2 linked regions of the Arabidopsis thaliana genome follow. The protein of the gene in region 1 interacts with the protein of each later gene in a pairwise test. Each region holds a gene or a part of one and is shown in the gene's direction. Other genes may lie near its edges.

What was found. The genes of interacting proteins can lie anywhere in the genome.
Region 2: the proteins of AT3G06470 (region 1) and AT1G07550 interact in a protein complementation assay, tested with the Arabidopsis thaliana proteins (one large-scale study listed by BioGRID).

Annotation. Positions count from the first base shown.
Region 1 is NC_003074.8:1,979,805-1,987,820, forward strand, and holds AT3G06470 (GNS1/SUR4 membrane protein family), read left to right. Parts: upstream 1-3,926; 5' UTR 3,927-4,401; coding exon 4,402-5,238; 3' UTR 5,239-5,526; downstream 5,527-8,016. Other genes in the region: AT3G06455 (ubiquitin family protein), read left to right, coding at 1,081-1,399, 1,533-2,251; AT3G06460 (GNS1/SUR4 membrane protein family), read left to right, coding at 2,877-3,773; AT3G06480 (DEAD box RNA helicase family protein), read right to left, coding at 5,893-6,913, 7,000-7,277, 7,375-7,725, 7,817-8,016.
Region 2 is NC_003070.9:2,319,739-2,330,074, reverse strand, and holds AT1G07550 (Leucine-rich repeat protein kinase family protein), read left to right. Parts: upstream 1-3,504; 5' UTR 3,505-3,562; coding exon 3,563-3,644; intron 3,645-3,769; coding exon 3,770-4,307; intron 4,308-4,488; coding exon 4,489-4,967; intron 4,968-5,042; coding exon 5,043-5,187; intron 5,188-5,276; coding exon 5,277-5,348; intron 5,349-5,415; coding exon 5,416-5,487; intron 5,488-5,580; coding exon 5,581-5,658; intron 5,659-5,744; coding exon 5,745-5,890; intron 5,891-5,974; coding exon 5,975-6,171; intron 6,172-6,277; coding exon 6,278-6,404; intron 6,405-6,486; coding exon 6,487-6,552; intron 6,553-6,659; coding exon 6,660-6,846; intron 6,847-6,960; coding exon 6,961-7,366; 3' UTR 7,367-7,532; downstream 7,533-10,336. Other genes in the region: AT1G07560 (Leucine-rich repeat protein kinase family protein), read right to left, coding at 83-291, 381-541, 655-732, 814-885, 1,023-1,094, 1,200-1,344, 1,422-1,903, 1,992-2,529 and 1 more; TRFL2 (TRF-like 2), read left to right, coding at 9,027-9,107, 9,208-9,946, 10,037-10,201, 10,286-10,336.

The DNA of each region.
Region 1 (8,016 bases):
AAATCAGCTCAAAATGACTAAAGGAACACAACTTTAGAAGACTGAGAGAAAATAGCTTTCGTTTTCTAGGCTTGACCTCTCTAGTCTCTATACAAGAGCCGTGGGAGATTTTTTATCAGTTAAAAACTACTGCTGGAGGAGAAAAAAACAACAGTAAAATTGGATTTTAAAAAAGGGAAGAGAGTGTGATGTGTTGAGATCTGATGAGAGGAGAGAGATGTCTGTCTCTGTGTCTCTTTGACTCCGGTTTCAGACAATGCTCGTGATTGGTTTTGTACACTTCTTCCGCCTAACACGGCGTTTAAATGTCTCTTATCACTCTTTTACCAATTTTTCTATAAATGAGATTAAGTTAAGAGTCAAGTTGGTTCATTTATCTCATTCTCATCTCTTCCAAACTAAGACATTTTTAGATTTTTGAGTCATACATTTTTCTCGGATTGATGAATTGGAATCTTTTTCCAAAAACATGTCACATTTTCTGACAATGACGATTTACTTGATTTAATGGGTTTTTAGTTTTTTACAAATTCTTTGGACGAATTTTCCTAATAAATATCTTCTATTTACTAGCTAGTGGCATCCTAATCTACAGTACTAATGGGCGGTGATTTCCAGCACTCACTGATTAGAAAATACTAGTTTGCTAACCATTTTTTATAGTATTCATTTTTCTCGCATAATTTATACTATAATTTTAATTCACTCTACAAACATCTTTTTTTTTTTCTTTTGTAATACACTCTTTTGTATTTTATTAAGATACGAAACACATACATCAAGCTAAAAAGGTCATAGACAACAAACTAGCCAAAGCAAAACATAAAACCTAAGACTTTTCAAAACGAAAAGCCCAACTATGAAGCCCAACAAGAAGAAACCGCATCAGAAGAGATATCAATCTTATTCTTAGCCCAACACATTACCAAAAAGAAATCTTATTCTTAGCCCAACAAGCAGAGAGAGAGAGAGACTCAGACTACCTTAGGGATCCGTTTTTCAACTTTCCCCCAATTTCTCTCCAGAAATCGAATCGAACTTTGTTCTTCTTCTTCGTCCAAGCTTTAGAATCGAAAATCGATGGCGGATCAAAGTTGTAAGCCGTTGCAGTTTTTCGTGAGACTACTCGACGGAAAATCAGTAACCCTAACCTTTTCCTCTCCGATAGCGTGTGGCGAGCAGATCAAGCAGCGGATCTTCGAGCAAACGAAGATTCCGACGCATCTACAGAGATTGATAAGCGGAGGATTCCAAATCCCCGGCGCATCCGCGATTTCTCAGTCTGACACCACCATGAATCTTGTCCTGTCCCTCCGTGGAGGCAAAGGTGGACTCGGATCGTTACTTCGTAATGTGGTTATGAAAGCTGGACAGAAGAAGACAAACAATTTCGATTCGTGTAGGGATATGAGTGAACGGAGATGTAAACGCCGAGAACAGGCTTCAGGAGTGGAAGGATGGTGAATAAGGGAGGAATTTTGAGAAAAAGGCTCTTGAGTATCTGAAGGAGCAATCCAATAATGCTAAACAAGGTGTTGGAGATGGAGCTACGCAGAAGAATGTCAACAAGTATAAGGGGGGATCTGATAAGTGTATTTTGGCTGTGCATTTGGCTTTGAACGAAACTTTCAAGAATGGGAATAAGAGAAAAGGGAAGAAGATGGGTACTGCAGAATCTGAAAAATCGAAACGAATCAAAATATGGAATGGAAAGAGAGCTGTTGAAGATAGTGACAGTGATGATAGCAGTGACGAGGAAGATGAGAAATCTGTTGTTGGTGGTCAAGTTGATTCAGATCATAAGGATACTGATGAAAGCTCAGGCTCTGTTTTGGATGGATCCCATGATGGTGAGAACGACTTTGTAGTGCACCAAAGTTCAGATGTAGTTAAGGGAGAGATCACGGTTGTTCAAAGAATTAACGAAGAGAAGATGGATGATTTTGCTGTTGCTGATGCAATGGATCAACTTGAAAAGGTGGAGAAATCAAGTGGAAACGATGATTTTGTCGTAAAGAGAGGAGGAACTGCGAAAGAAAGAGTGTGTTGCAAACCTGTTGAACCGCTTAACTTTGCTGAGTTCAAAGCAGCCACAGATATGGAGGTTTTGGGGATGGAGAGATTGAAGACTGAGCTTCAGTCACGCGGTCTGAAATGCAGAGGGACATTGCGAGAGCGAGCTGCGAGGCTATTTTTACTTAAATCAACGCCCCTCGATAAGCTCCCGAAGAAATTACTGGCCAAGAAATGAAGACCAACATCCATCTTCAAAAAGATTACACCCTTTTGAAGTTTTTTGGCTTGTAGTTCAAATCATACAAGCCATTATGTAAATAAGAAATGTGTGTTAGATGACAAGGCCTAGGAGTTCAAATGTTTCAGTTATCTTTGGTTAAGTCCCTACCGAAATGGGTTCTAAGCCCAAATGTTTTAAAAACCTATAGCCTTATTTGAAAAAACGACAATTTTCAGTCACCAAGCCTAAACTTCCTCTTATTAAAGACAAGTTTTTCTCCTTTTAAAACACCATTAGCATTAATCATCATCACATTGATAACTAGATTTTACGATATTACCTTCCCACGTTATGCTTATGCATGATAAAAAAATATTGATGATGCATTCATTACGATATTACCTTCCCACGTTATTCAAATTGGTAAGCCTCTGATGACCCCATCGTCTCTCTCCCATATCAGTGCCGGGAAACCGGAGCAGTTGCGTGACTTAGAGTATTCATGACGCAATGGCACCGTTGTACTTCATGTTCCAAAACAAATAAGAAGACGCAACGCCACCATCCGTTTACTCCATTAGTATGTGTATATAAGCCATATCAAACTTCAACTCCTCCAAACTAACTTCGCTAGAGAATAATGGCATCTGTTTACTCCACCCTAACCTACTGGCTCGTCCACCACCCCTACATTGCCAACTTCACGTGGACCGAAGGTGAAACACTAGGCTCCACCGTTTTCTTTGTCTTTGTCGTCGTCTCCCTTTACCTCTCCGCCACATTCCTCCTCCGATACACCGTCGATTCACTCCCCACACTCGGTCCCCGCATTCTCAAACCAATCACAGCCGTTCACAGCCTCATTCTCTTCCTCCTCTCCTTAACCATGGCCGTTGGTTGCACTCTCTCCCTAATCTCTTCCTCGGACCCGAAGGCGCGTCTCTTCGACGCCGTTTGTTTCCCCCTCGACGTGAAACCTAAGGGACCGCTTTTCTTTTGGGCTCAAGTCTTTTACCTCTCGAAGATCCTTGAGTTCGTAGACACACTTCTCATCATACTCAACAAATCAATCCAACGGCTCTCGTTCCTCCACGTCTACCACCACGCAACGGTTGTGATTTTGTGCTACCTCTGGTTACGAACACGTCAATCGATGTTTCCTGTTGGGCTCGTGTTGAACTCGACGGTCCATGTGATTATGTACGGGTACTATTTCCTCTGCGCTATCGGATCGAGGCCCAAGTGGAAGAAGTTGGTGACGAATTTTCAAATGGTTCAGTTTGCTTTCGGCATGGGGTTAGGAGCCGCTTGGATGCTCCCAGAGCATTATTTCGGGTCGGGTTGCGCCGGGATTTGGACAGTTTATTTCAATGGTGTGTTTACTGCTTCTCTATTGGCTCTCTTCTACAACTTCCACTCCAAGAACTATGAGAAGACTACAACGTCGCCTTTGTATAAGATCGAATCCTTTATATTTATTCACGGAGAGAGGTGGGCAAATAAAGCGATTACATTATTTTCCAAGAAAAACGATTAAATTGTCATGATTATTATATATATATCTAGTTTGGATATGTTGATGTGTGTTGTTAGTTGTTACTGTAAAATGTTGGGATGCATGGTTTGAAATTGTTTTATATATTAACGAATAAGATGACAAAATATATAAAAATGTCACATAAAATCATCATGATCGTCTGATTCTTCTTATTGCATACATCTTTCTATACAACATTTGCCAACCAACGTTTCTTTAAAGGATTGGACACTGAGATTAGTTCTATAATATTTTTTATGCCTACCAGTGTTGGTTCATCAACCACTGGTCGTACCAAACCCTCTCTTTATGATAATGGAGGAGAGAGTGACCACGGTTTTTAAGAGCCGCCGCTGCTACAATGGGCCTATCTCGTAGTCCTCATAAACCGGGCTAGAACTACGGGCTACGGCGGCGTGGCCCAATTCAACAAATAACAACAACAGTAGCATATCATCTAAATATAATATTATACGATACTATACTTAAAAAAGATAAAAACAAGATCCTCTGGGACCCACTTTCATGAAAATTAGCCAATTGGGTAAGCCTTTGATCCTTCATCTCTCGCTAAACCATATCTTCAAACGTCAACTCCCCAAACTTCGTCGGCGATTCACCGGAGGCTATGGCATCAATTTACTCCTCTTTAACCTACTGGCTCGTTAACCACCCCTACATCTCCAATTTTACTTGGATCGAAGGTGAAACCCTAGGCTCCACCGTCTTTTTCGTATCCGTCGTAGTCTCCGTTTACCTCTCCGCCACGTTCCTCCTCCGATCCGCCATCGATTCACTCCCATCACTCAGTCCACGTATCCTCAAACCGATCACAGCCGTCCACAGCCTAATCCTCTGTCTCCTCTCCTTAGTCATGGCCGTCGGTTGCACTCTCTCAATAACCTCATCTCACGCGTCTTCAGATCCGATGGCGCGTTTCCTTCACGCGATTTGCTTTCCCGTCGACGTTAAACCTAACGGACCGCTTTTCTTCTGGGCTCAAGTCTTCTACCTCTCGAAGATCCTCGAGTTCGGAGACACGATCCTCATCATACTCGGCAAATCAATCCAACGGCTATCCTTCCTCCACGTGTACCACCACGCGACGGTTGTGGTCATGTGTTATCTCTGGCTCCGAACTCGCCAATCGATGTTTCCGATTGCGCTCGTGACGAATTCGACGGTACACGTCATCATGTACGGTTACTACTTCCTCTGCGCCGTTGGATCGAGGCCCAAGTGGAAGAGATTGGTGACGGATTGTCAGATTGTTCAGTTTGTTTTCAGTTTCGGGTTATCCGGTTGGATGCTCCGAGAGCACTTATTCGGGTCGGGTTGCACCGGGATTTGGGGATGGTGTTTCAACGCTGCATTTAATGCTTCTCTTTTGGCTCTCTTTTCCAACTTCCATTCAAAGAATTATGTCAAGAAGCCAACGAGAGAGGATGGCAAAAAAAGCGATTAGATTGGTTTCTTGGACAATAAGTAAAACCTCTCATTGTGTCTTGAATTGTTGATTAGTTTCCACACAAAAGGATTAATTGTCTTGAATTGTTGTTTATTTTGAAATTTTTGTCTGTGTTGTACTTGCAAATGTTGAGATACTTTTGTACTTGTATGAATATAAGATGACAGAAAATATCAAAATATCACAAAAGTCATGACATGGACTCATCATCTCTAATTCTTTGACTGAAAAGTACGTTCAATCTAAAGAATTCATGCAATGATGTAAGCAAGAATTGAATTTAAACATCGTTCACCATTCCAAGAACATTGTAAATTTATCATCTCTAAATGCTGTATCTGTCTATCTAGAAGACTAGAATTACAGTTTTTCCCAAGTTCTTCCTTTGATGCTAGTCTAGATTTTTCTGAAGGCAATAGAAGGCGTTTACATAAACGATAAAAATTCTCAAATACATTACAAACTAATTCTCCATGATACAACAAGAACATGAGAAAAAAATAAAAAAATGAAAATAAAGAAACCTCAGCCAACAAATCTGAGAAGACGTGTCAGCTGTCTGATTTGGTGAATCCATTCAATACCCAAAAAATTTGGGGTGAGCTTGTGATATCTCCGTAGTGAGGATTTATATCATTCTATGATTTGGTTTTAGGGTTCTTCATCAACCACTGGTCGTACTAAAGCCGCTTCTACCTCCGATTCAACAACCCCATTCCCTTGTCTCTCAGACAAGGATGTAGGAACCACGTTTTCAATCGCTGCCGCGGCATTCATGTCCAGGTTCACTACAGATTCAACTGGTGGTTTAATATCAAACCCAGAAACACGTGGCGCTCTATCTCGTCTTTCATAAACCGGACTAGGACTACGGCTATAGCTTCTGCTCCTGTTATGACCACCTCGGTCACGGCTATGTCTAGGGCTGCGACTCCTTGAACGTGACCAGCTCCTGCTACGGCTACGGCTACGACTATAGCTCCCGCTCCGGCTTCGACTCCGGCTATAGCTCGAGCTACGGCGCCGTGGCCGAACCAAATCAGGACTTCTGCTGCGACTTCTACCTCTTCTGTTGTCAAACCGTCCAACACCACGACCAAAGCCTCTACCACTACCACGACCAAAGCCTCGGCTCTCCATATTATTATTATTGCCAAACCGACCAAATCCGCCTCTACCACCCACATTCATATGACCAGCATCAGGACCAGTAAAACCCCGACCACGATTCCCGCCACGTCCAAATGAGTCATCTCTCATTCCAAATCTTCCCCCACGGCCTCCAAATCCACCCTCACGGCCCCCAAATCCACCCTCACGGCCTCCAAACCCACCCTCACGGCCACTAAACCCACCACCACGCCCACCAAACCCACCACCAGAATCCCAACGGGTACCACCACCGCCAGAGTCAAACCGGTTAACCATACCTCTTCGATCCTGGCTATAACCGGGACCACCACCACCACCACCACGCATTGCAATATCTCTTACTTGAGGCGGTACTTGCTGGTTCGCTCCTTCCAGGACTTTGATCAAATCAGGTGCGTATTTCCAATCTTGCTCTGTAAAGAAAGTGAATGCAACTCCAGTTGCACCAGCTCGACCGGTTCTCCCAATACGGTGGACATAGTCTTCAACTCCAGTTGGAAAATCGTAGTTGATCACAACTCTGAAGTAGTATAAACACGAACAAAGGTAAGTAATCTTGATAACAAACAAGCAAAGAGATATATACCAGGAATTATTACAACAAACCGTATGTCTTTTATGTCGAGTCCCCGGGCAGCAACGTCAGTAGCTATCAGTACACAAGACTTCCCGCTTCGGAACTGGTTAAGCACCCAATCTCTCTCACCTTGAGTCTTGTCTCCATGGATCACAACAGCGCCAAAATGACGTCCGACACTACGTGCAAGATGGTCACAAAGCCTCTTCGTGGAGCAAAATATTATAACTTTTGAACCTCGTTCTTGTGACCTAAGGATTTGCTCCAAACGTCTCTCTTTCTCCATTTGTGGGACTACTTCAACATACTGCGTTATAAGGATGGGTTTGCTTCAGTAACCTCATCACCAAGTTATGTGTAAGTATTGCTTTACAGTGATATAAAATGGTTTAGATGATCATCACCTGCGTTATTGCTTTGTTAGCAGCCAACTCATCTACCCTGCCTATGTTAACTTGGACAGGGTTCACAAGAAGATCGCTTGCAATTTTTCTTACTTCTTTTGGCCAAGTGGCTGTGTACATAAGAGTCTGTCTCCGAGGAGGTATTTCATTCACAATCTTACGGATTTGGGGTTCAAAACCCATGTCAAGCATTCGGTCTGCCTCGTCAAGCACAAGAAGGGAAACCTGCTGGAAATCAATCATCTTCATCTCCAGTATATCATTTAGACGCCCAGGAGTTGCCACCACAATATCAGCTCCTCGTTCCAACTCTTTCAATTGAGGACCCTTTGGAGCTCCACCATACAAACACTGATGACCAGAACATAGATTCGTAAACAAAAACACAGTATGGCTCTATCAGCCTAGCGATAACTGTCAACGAGACTCAAATTAAACTTACAGTGCATGATATCCTGGAAGACCGTCCAAACCTTAGTGCTTCGTCTTGTATTTGTGTGGCTAGCTCCCGAGTAGGAGCTAGGATCAAAACTGTGGGGCCATTGCGGGAGTCGTTACGACAGTGCCTTAGAAGAATGAAGGCAGGGATCAAGTATCCCAATGTTTTACCAGAACCAGTTTTTGCAATTGCAACTATATCCC
Region 2 (10,336 bases), on another chromosome or scaffold:
TATCCAAATATGTACAATATATAATATACGTCAACTTAGCCTTACAAAAATGTATAAAAATTCATAAGGGTGCCAAAGAAACCTCTGTTTTGAACTCTTTATAGCCTTGAGCTGATGATGGAGAGAGTAGCTTGACCGCTACTTCTTCAGTACCATTTATATAACCATGATAGACCATTCCAAATCCTCCTTTACCCAAAACCCTTTCAAATTTCTTTGTCATGGCAAGAACTTCGGCATATGTATATCTTTTCTTTATTGTTTCTATTGATTGTTGGCTTGGTGATGGACCTAGAACCATACACAAATAATTAGAAATCACTTTATAATTATGTATGCATACAATAATATTTCTGGTTTGATGAATTTGATACAGATACCTTTTCTGCTTGATGAGCGTCTTTTAATACAAACAAAAAGCAGAGCGATCATTGCTATTATAGCAGCCAAAGAAGCAAGTGATGCAACAACTGGTAACATGATGCTATTTTTCTTTTTGTTGCATGAACTGGAAAAACATAGGTTTGGATTTCCCTGAATGCTAGTATTGTAAACAAGCTAATCAAGTGTTAGTGAAGACATACTGCAAATTAAGATATCATATTTCAATGACCATCAACTATTGAAGACTAAATATAGTTGAGAAGATCTTACTTCAACTTCAACCCATTTTTCACTTTGTTGAGAAGAGCTTGAGGGACTGATCCACTAAGGTTGTTTCCGCTTAAGTTTCTGCCTAGGTAAAAAATAAACATCAACAGACTCGGATAATAAATTGGCAATGTGATTCATATGAGTGACCAAGTAACTTACATGACTAACAATGATTTCATTTTGGCTAGAAATTCAGGTACTCCACCTGTTAGATTATTATTTGAAAAGTCCCTATCATATGCAAAAATGAATTAATTGATTATATGTTTGGCCTTGATAAACAGAGTATTCAAGTAAAACAGAGTATTCAGGTAAAACAGAGTATGTGTTTGACCTTGATAAAAAATTGGCAATGTGTTCATACTTACAATTTTTTAAGCTCCGTAAGATTTTGGATCTCAGGAACTATAATTCCAGTTAGTTCACTTGAGGACAAGTCTCTGGTGGTAATTAAAGATCATAACACACATTTAAAGTGTAAGATGTTACGAAATGCAGAGCTTAACAAAAAACTGTTTTAATGTTACGAATAGCCATGGACGTACAAGGAATGGATTCTTGGTGGTGTAGACATATTGGTGTACTCGCAGGTAAGACCATCCCACAATAATTGTTGAGGAACACATGGATCTCCTTGCCAACTAATTCTACTTAATCCATAGCTTGTTTCTATGCTCTTGATAGCAAGGACTAACACACAATAACAGAATGAAAACACTTAAGTATATACAAAAAAGTATATATATACTCAGATTTTGCTGACATACCGTCATTTGCATTAGTTTCAGACTGCGGAAACTCCACTGTTATAAAAGCCTCAATAGCATTGAGGAGGGGAGGGAGAGTTGATTTTGGAGTTTTTATTAGTTGCAAATGGCATGTCCCTCCTTCACATTTAACTGGTGATGTATTGAATAGAGTACCCACTAGAAACTCGTCAGGACTAACAGGTCCATAGTTAACATCTTGGCCTGCGCTAATGTTGAATTCCCTGGTATCATTTTCCCTTAAGGATTGGATCTCAGCGACGTGGAGGTATGCATAAACTAAGTCGTCAGGTGTTTCCAAATTCCAAGAAATGGTTAATGGTGAACTCACATTTGCAGGTGTGGCTGCCGTAACCACTACGTCTTCCGGTATGTCATAGCCGTTATCATCAGAAGTGTTGACCGTGAGACTTGTTCTTAACAGTCTCCATTCCGGCATGAAAAATGGACTCCAAAGACGATCATGGACATCTTCTGGATACCTGAAGAGAAAGGATGGAAAGTATTACCGAACAGTGTATCCAGTGGAAACCAATCTATTCATTACCAATTGGTTTTGAGTTGGCTTACCGAACAGTTTCTTTGGAATCAGTCAAATGGACGCGGAACAATGTCTTGAGGGAACCAGATTGAGGAATATAAGTATTATTTCTCAATGGTCGTAGTTCTAAAGCTGATATTAGCGGCGTAGTTGTTCCCGTCTTAACAAGACAAATCTGCAAAGAAGTTGACCTTGGTATGTGAATGATTTCCGCCCTTGTTCCGTTTACATTTCTTTGCAAATCGACCGTGGTCCATATATTTGGACCAAGATAAAGGTCGAACTTTGGGTGTGTGTTAAGATTATCGTAGTTTCCATAAGTAAACATGGCTACGATCAGATAGTTTGTGCCTTGTATGACGATAAGAGTATAACAGTTTCGTACTCCATCTGGAAAATATCTCAAAACCGTGTATGGCTTTATATACTCCATCCCCGGAACATTTTGAATCTTGCCGCTTTTTCCACTTTTGATGAAATCGGCGTCTGATGTGAATGTTAACTTTGTTAATGGTTCGGTATAAGGAGACTCATCGGCTTGCAACCCGCAATCCAAACTGATGAATCCTGATAAAGGCAAAAGAAAAAAAACAGAGAAATAATTTGGTAAAAAAATAAGTTTGGAAACTGAATTAATGACTAAATTGTGATAGGAAACATGTTTAGTCAAAGTTAAAAGAAGAAAACCTGAAACAAAAAAAGTTATACCTTGTTGATCTTGTGCTCGAAGAAAATCGGAAATGCCTAAAGACAAAACTAGGAAGGCCAATAGAAGTCCACGGAGGTTTTTCATTTTCCCACCTCTGTCCAAAAAAAAAAAAGGATTACGAATTGCCAATGTACTTGCAATATAAAACATGCCAAATCAAACCTTTGGATATAAAAAACGGATGAATTGTTAAATAATTATTTATTAACTTATATTTCTGCTTGGGGCGGATCATAACGGGAAATATGTCAACGTTCACATACCAATAACAATAAGCCACCTATTGAGTTGGACCGATCTTCTAACCAAATTCGAAATAATTTGTCTAATAATTTGATTATGGTAAGACTTTTCTCAAGTGGAATTATAAAATCTGACAAGTGTGTGTCATGTTTAAATTTTATAAAAAAGGTTTGCAAGTGGAAATTAGTAGAACTGATTGATTCTAATTGGTTATCATCAAGCACACCTATAGTAGATTAACCTGAGAAAATGAGTTATTACCGTGTGTGTGAAGGGATGTCATATTCATATATGGCAAAGTCACCGATCGTGTCAGAATCAAACCACGAATATAAGCAAAAGTGAACAAATGAATCGAGATTTTTAAAATATAGAGAGTATATAACCTGGTTGCATATTTTTCATTTCAAAAATTTTATAATCAACCACTAACGTCTTGATTTATTTTATATGGATATTATACCAGTGGTTAGCTGTTATTATTCGTTAGATAAAACCATGGCAAAAGTTTAAGTTTTTAAAACAAAATTTATACGTAGACGTCACCATGATTAATTCCATTTGCAGCTTATAACACTAAAAATTTGTCCATTTCAAAACTTTGGTAGTAGTAAGTTTTGTTAGTTGTGAACGAAGAAATCATCAAAAATGGACACTTGCACCAGGCTTCTGTTTGCTGCGTGTGCCACTTTATCCATCTTACATCTTGTTCAATCTCAGAATCAACAAGGTCTTTTTATCATCTGTTTTTCTTTTTTACAATAATTTTGGAAATAAACCATTCTAAATTTTTTTTTGAGATAGAACTTTATATAAGAAAAACAATATGTACCTCTCCCTTTTCGGTCTTACCAGGATTCATCAGTTTGGATTGTGGATTAGCTTCTAACGAGTCTCCTTACAACGAAGCAAATAGCAATCTGACGTACATATCCGATGCTGATTTCATTCAAGGAGGAAAAACTGGTAATGTCCAAAAAGACTTGCTTATGAAACTCAGGAAGCCATATACGGTTTTGAGATACTTTCCGGATGGAATCCGAAATTGTTACAGTCTAAATGTCAAGCAAGACACAAATTATCTAATCAGGGTTATGTTTCGATATGGAAACTATGACGGGCTTAACAATTCTCCAAGATTCGACCTCTATCTTGGTCCTAATATTTGGACAACCATAGATATGGGGAAGTCAGGTGATGGAGTTCTGGAGGAGATCATTCACATCACAAGGTCTAACATCTTGGACATATGTCTCGTCAAGACAGGGACGAGTACACCAATGATATCATCCATAGAGTTGAGACCCTTGCTATATGATACTTATATTGCTCAAACCGGTTCCTTGAGGAATTATAACCGGTTCTATTTCACCGATTCAAACAACTATATACGGTACCTTATTTTCACCTTATGCTTTATAAATAACCAAAGTAGATTATGAGCAGAAACTTTAATCTCCACAAAAACTTTAATATTATTGTCATTTAAGCCATCTAGCGTAAACCAAGATTATACAGTATTAATTATTGTTATTAGTTGATGTAAAGTAAAATATATAACTTGATTTTGGCAGTTATCCCCAAGATGTGCATGATAGAATTTGGGTGCCGTTGATATTACCAGAATGGACGCATATAAACACAAGTCACCACGTTATTGATTCTATAGATGGCTATGACCCACCACAAGATGTACTTAGGACCGGCGCCATGCCCGCTAATGCCAGTGATCCAATGACCATTACCTGGAATTTGAAGACGGCTACTGACCAGGTTTACGGTTATATTTACATCGCCGAGATCATGGAAGTCCAGGCCAATGAAACTAGAGAATTCGAAGTTGTGGTAAATAATAAAGTTCATTTCGATCCTTTCCGTCCTACCAGATTTGAAGCACAAGTTATGTTCAACAATGTACCACTGACATGCGAGGGAGGATTTTGTCGTCTGCAACTTATAAAAACTCCGAAATCGACTCTTCCACCCTTGATGAATGCTTTCGAAATTTTCACGGGCATTGAGTTTCCTCAATCAGAAACAAATCAAAATGATGGTATGTTGCCTTTGAACAAATATGCATATAGCTTTTTACACGTATTATTTCTTGCTAATTTGCACCATGTTTCAGTCATTGCTGTAAAGAATATTCAAGCTAGTTATGGACTGAACAGAATCAGCTGGCAGGGCGATCCATGTGTCCCTAAACAGTTTTTGTGGACTGGCTTAAGCTGCAACGTAATTGATGTGTCCACACCACCAAGAATCGTGAAATTGTGAGAGCATTTATTCTAACTCAATGTTGTTAGCAAATCTTAAGCCCTGAAATGTATCTGATGTGATATGTCTTGGATCTTCCAAACAGAGATTTGTCTTCAAGTGGATTAAATGGAGTTATACCACCTAGCATACAAAATCTAACTCAACTTCAAGAACTGTACGTATCTCTATAACAAAATGAAGATGTATTCAAAACACTTGTTAACAATTTTTTGTTGCAACAGGGACCTGTCCCAAAACAACTTGACTGGTAAAGTGCCTGAATTTCTAGCCAAGATGAAATATTTGTTGGTCATGTAAGTGTTGTTGAAAGCAAAATAAGCCATTTTTATCATAATGTTTTACATTTACTAACTAGATGATCTACTGATTTGTCTATATATTCACAGAAACTTAAGTGGAAACAAACTTAGCGGTTTGGTTCCTCAAGCCCTTCTTGATAGAAAAAAGGAAGGATTAAAGCTATTGTAAGATTTCTTTTTGAGATGATCTTTATTGATTTACTACGTGCCCACTCTCGTTTCTGAAATTCACTACGTTCTTTATTCTTTAGGGTTGACGAAAATATGATTTGTGTGTCTTGCGGTACAAGATTCCCAACAGCTGCGGTTGCGGCATCTGTTTCTGCAGTGGCCATTATCATACTTGTGTTAGTTCTCATATTTGTTTTAAGAAGGAGAAAGCCATCTGCTGGGAAAGGTACTTAAAGGAGAATAACATATAGAAGAATATAATCCCATATTGTATAGCTCTCATGGAATTCTGTTAAATTTTTCTATGCAGTTACACGCTCATCCTTCAAATCGGAAAATAGAAGATTTACTTACTCTGACGTTAACAAAATGACAAATAACTTTCAAGTTGTTATTGGTAAAGGAGGGTTCGGTGTTGTCTATCAAGGTTGTTTAAATAATGAACAAGCAGCTATTAAAGTGCTTTCTCATTCATCAGCTCAGGGCTATAAAGAATTCAAAACAGAGGTATTCTTATTAAATCTTTTACTAAAGTTTTGGAAAAAGAGGTTAATGTTTGAGATCAGGAATCAATTGGTTACACTTTTTTCTTTATGTCGTCCTTGATTGTTAGGTCGAACTACTTTTAAGAGTTCACCATGAAAAGTTAGTAAGCCTCATTGGATATTGTGATGATGATAATGGCTTAGCTCTCATCTACGAGTTAATGGGAAAGGGAAACTTAAAAGAGCATCTCTCAGGTAAAACACATGAAAATTTGATACAACAATTTATAGGTTCTCTTTCAAACAAACTTCTTAAGCCACTTGGTTGTTATTGCAGGAAAACCTGGTTGTTCTGTTTTGAGCTGGCCGATAAGACTTAAAATAGCTCTTGAATCCGCCATAGGTGTGTAGAAATATTATTATATATAGTTTAAGCTGATATATATAAATTCTCTCTTAAACTCCATATTTATGATAATTAGTTAACATACGAGGTTTAACATATGGTAGGAATTGAGTATTTGCATACTGGATGCAAGCCAAAAATCGTTCATAGAGATGTCAAAAGTACTAATATATTGTTGAGTGAAGAATTTGAGGCCAAAATTGCTGATTTCGGACTCTCAAGATCCTTCCTAATAGGAAATGAAGCTCAACCTACGGTTGTTGCTGGAACATTTGGATATCTTGATCCGGAGTAAGTAGTGGAGGATTTATATCACATTGTACATTTAAACATGCATGTCTTCGATCGATTTTCTTGCTTTCTGAAAAAAAAAGTGAACCATATCTTTAAAATCTTTTGTTATAGGTACCACAAAACCAGCTTGTTAAGCATGAAGAGTGATGTATATAGCTTTGGGGTTGTCTTACTGGAAATCATCAGCGGCCAAGATGTGATTGATTTATCCCGTGAAAATTGTAACATAGTGGAATGGACCAGTTTTATACTCGAAAATGGTGATATTGAAAGTATAGTGGATCCAAACCTCCATCAAGATTATGACACAAGTTCTGCATGGAAAGTTGTTGAATTGGCAATGTCATGTGTGAACCGTACTTCCAAAGAGAGACCAAACATGTCTCAGGTCGTTCATGTGCTAAACGAATGTTTGGAAACATGTGAAAAGTGGAGAAAAAGCCAAGAGGTGGACTTAAGCAGTCCTCTGGAACTGAGCATAGTTGTAGACACCGAAATAAACCCAAAGGCACGTTAGTCATTATTCTCATGGTTGGGTGTATAATGATCAGTCTGTATAATTTGTATTATGAAGCGTCTATTGCACAATTTGGGTGTTAAGTCTGTATGTTGAACGTGTTGATACTTAATAGCTTCTTCTTGTGCTATCGAAAGTTGAAAGTACTCTTTTAATTATACAAGAAGAATATCCACTCATACAGATATTTGTGATTTTATTCGGTTTAAAGAATCTGTTTATGCGGTTCGGTTTTTTCGGTGGGCTTGGAAATTCACTGGGTTTTTATTTTGTGGGCCGAAAGTGTAGGCTGTGGTGTAGAAATGTTATTTTTTGGGCTGTAGGAACTTTGTAAGCCCAAGAAGAAATCCTAATTTCATCTTCTTGAAACACGTGTTCTTTGTCCTTCGCGATTTCGATGCTACCGACAGAGAAGAAGAAGAAGAAGACGAGCTTCACTTCGGTATTTACTCTCAGATCCATCGTTCCGTTCAAAGTTTCCAGCATTTAGAAGGACTATTCAATTCGGATTCTCGGCAGGTTGGGAAAGAACTGAAGAACCGTTCGGTTCAGTGATGCCAAAGTATATTTGAAGCATTGCCGATCGGTTGATAGCTGCAAACCGAATTGATCGATCGGTTAGGTTAATTAGGTTTAGGTTAAAGTATTTTGCATCAGAAAATAGATAGGGTTCTCAATGAAAACAAATTTGTTATTATAAAATAAAATAGAAGAAGAAAAACTGAAAAAGACAAAATAAAATAAACAGGAGAATGACATGGCTTGGACTGAAAGGAAAAAAAAAACATTACATGGCATGTGTGACTCAACGTTATTGTCGAAGTTTGTGTGTTGTAAAAAAAGCCGGACGATCCGACAGAGACAACACGTGGCCGAATCAGGGGGAAGTACGTGAGACAGTGGTGGTGACCCAAGAAGGGAGAAGAAGAACAGGTCTTCAGGGTGGGGTTTACTGGTTATAGCCGGTTATTCGCTCTTCTTCTTTTTTCAGACACGTCCTCTGTGTTACTACTCTCGTATAAGACCAGGGGTTTAAGCCCTTGTCTCCTTCCGTGCTTTTTTCCCACATTAAGGGGTTTTTCGATTTCCCACAACAAAAAATAAATAATAAGACAGAAACTTTTTTGCTTTGTGTGGGTTGATGAGAAAATAAGATCATAAACATTCTGATCTCACCTTGTTTCAGAAGAAAAGGTGAGATTATTTTTGAAGTTTTTTTGGATCTGCAATTTGAATTGCGGTTTTTTATGTTTATAGTTTTCTAGCTTGAGGGTTTTTTGATGTTGTAATTTGGTTTCTCACAGAAGCTGAACCGTGTTTGTTTTTCATGAAAATATTACAAGACCAGAATTGTTCATTATTTTTCTTGGTAAATTCATGCTCTGTTTTCACTCTACGGTCATTAATCAAATGAGGCTTTAGATCGTGGAAATTTCAATAACTTGGATTCTAGCTAGGGTTTTACAAAAAATGATGTCTGAAATTGGAAATAATCTGCTATCACATATACAGTATGTGAGATTTTCTTGCAACGTAAGAAATTTTATAGATAAATGCTAATACATTGTTGGACTCAGTAACCTAATTGTTTTTCTCCAGGGATCTTGTAATCCGTGAGAATGCCTTCGTTTTGTTGAATGATTGAAATGTTCTTCAAATCATGGTGTTGCAAAAGAGGCCCGATTATGGATTCAATGGCTATGAGGTGCCTCACACACCTCGAGCTGCCAGATCACCAAGAGTAAATACAATTCTTAACTTTTTTGTGTGTTTCTTATCAGTTTTATATATGTTCTAATGTTCCCTTCTGATATATATGTTTGTGTTTTGTGTTTTGCTAGAAGAGTGCTTTCAAGAAGAAAAGCGAAAACCATCAAATATCGTCTTTCGATTTGTTGGCTGCAGTAGCTGGAAAACTGCTGCTTGAAGGTGGGAATTCTTCTTCCTCAAGTAACAATACCTCTGGTAATAATGAAGATCAGTGTGCAGTTAAGAAAGAGCCGCTTAACGGCGGCGATATAATGGTGGAAGAAGAGACTACAAATTCTGATCATGATAATAATAATGCTGAACGGAGTTTCTTTGTCTCTGAGATTCTTCAAAAATCTCATGAAATGCAAAGCTTTAATAGATCTCCAAGTCCCCTTAAAGAGTTCCATTTTGGATCTTCTTCTGGTATAACTTCTGATTCCTCTGAGAAGTTTGAAACTCAAGAATTGGCGTATGATGAATCCAAGATCAATAATGGTGATTGCTATAGGTCAGAGTCTAATGATAAGAAATCAATGCTTGGAGGGTTAAATTTTGAAGCAAAGTTATCAAGGAATGTTGTAGGTAAGGATGAGAAACATATAGGTAGTGGATTCAGGAAACCTATTCCCCAAAATCCTTCAACATGCTCCGATGATGTAGATTTACACGGTAAGGAAAATGATGATGGCGAAAACTTCTCAGCCTGTTACAGAACAAAATCATTTAGGTCAACTCTGCGTATTGGAGATAGAAGAATAAGGAAAGTTTGGGCTTCCAAGTATTGTAAAGTCCCTCCAAAGCTGAAAGATACAACAGTAACTAATTCAGGTGAACATTATGGACCATTTGTGAGCAAGTCATATGTACTTTTCAAGATGTTATGGTTTATTTATGTGTCTTTGTCTGAAAATGTTTTAGACTTGGACTTGAAGTCTGATTACTATAGCAAGAAACATTGTCTTAAAAGCTTAAGATCAGAGAGGAACTATCCAATAAAGAAAAGGAGATACTTTGATGGTTATACAGCATCACAATCCGAGGAAACAAATAAAAATGAAGGCCAGTCTGGTTCACCTCGAAAGGGTATATTATCGGAAGCTAGTCATTTAACGTCAAAAATCACTTTACGATGATATAGTGATTAACTTTGAACTTTGTTTTTGGCAGCTTCAGCTTTTCTATCATCCATAGCTTGTCAGAAGCAGCCTGCAGCATTCC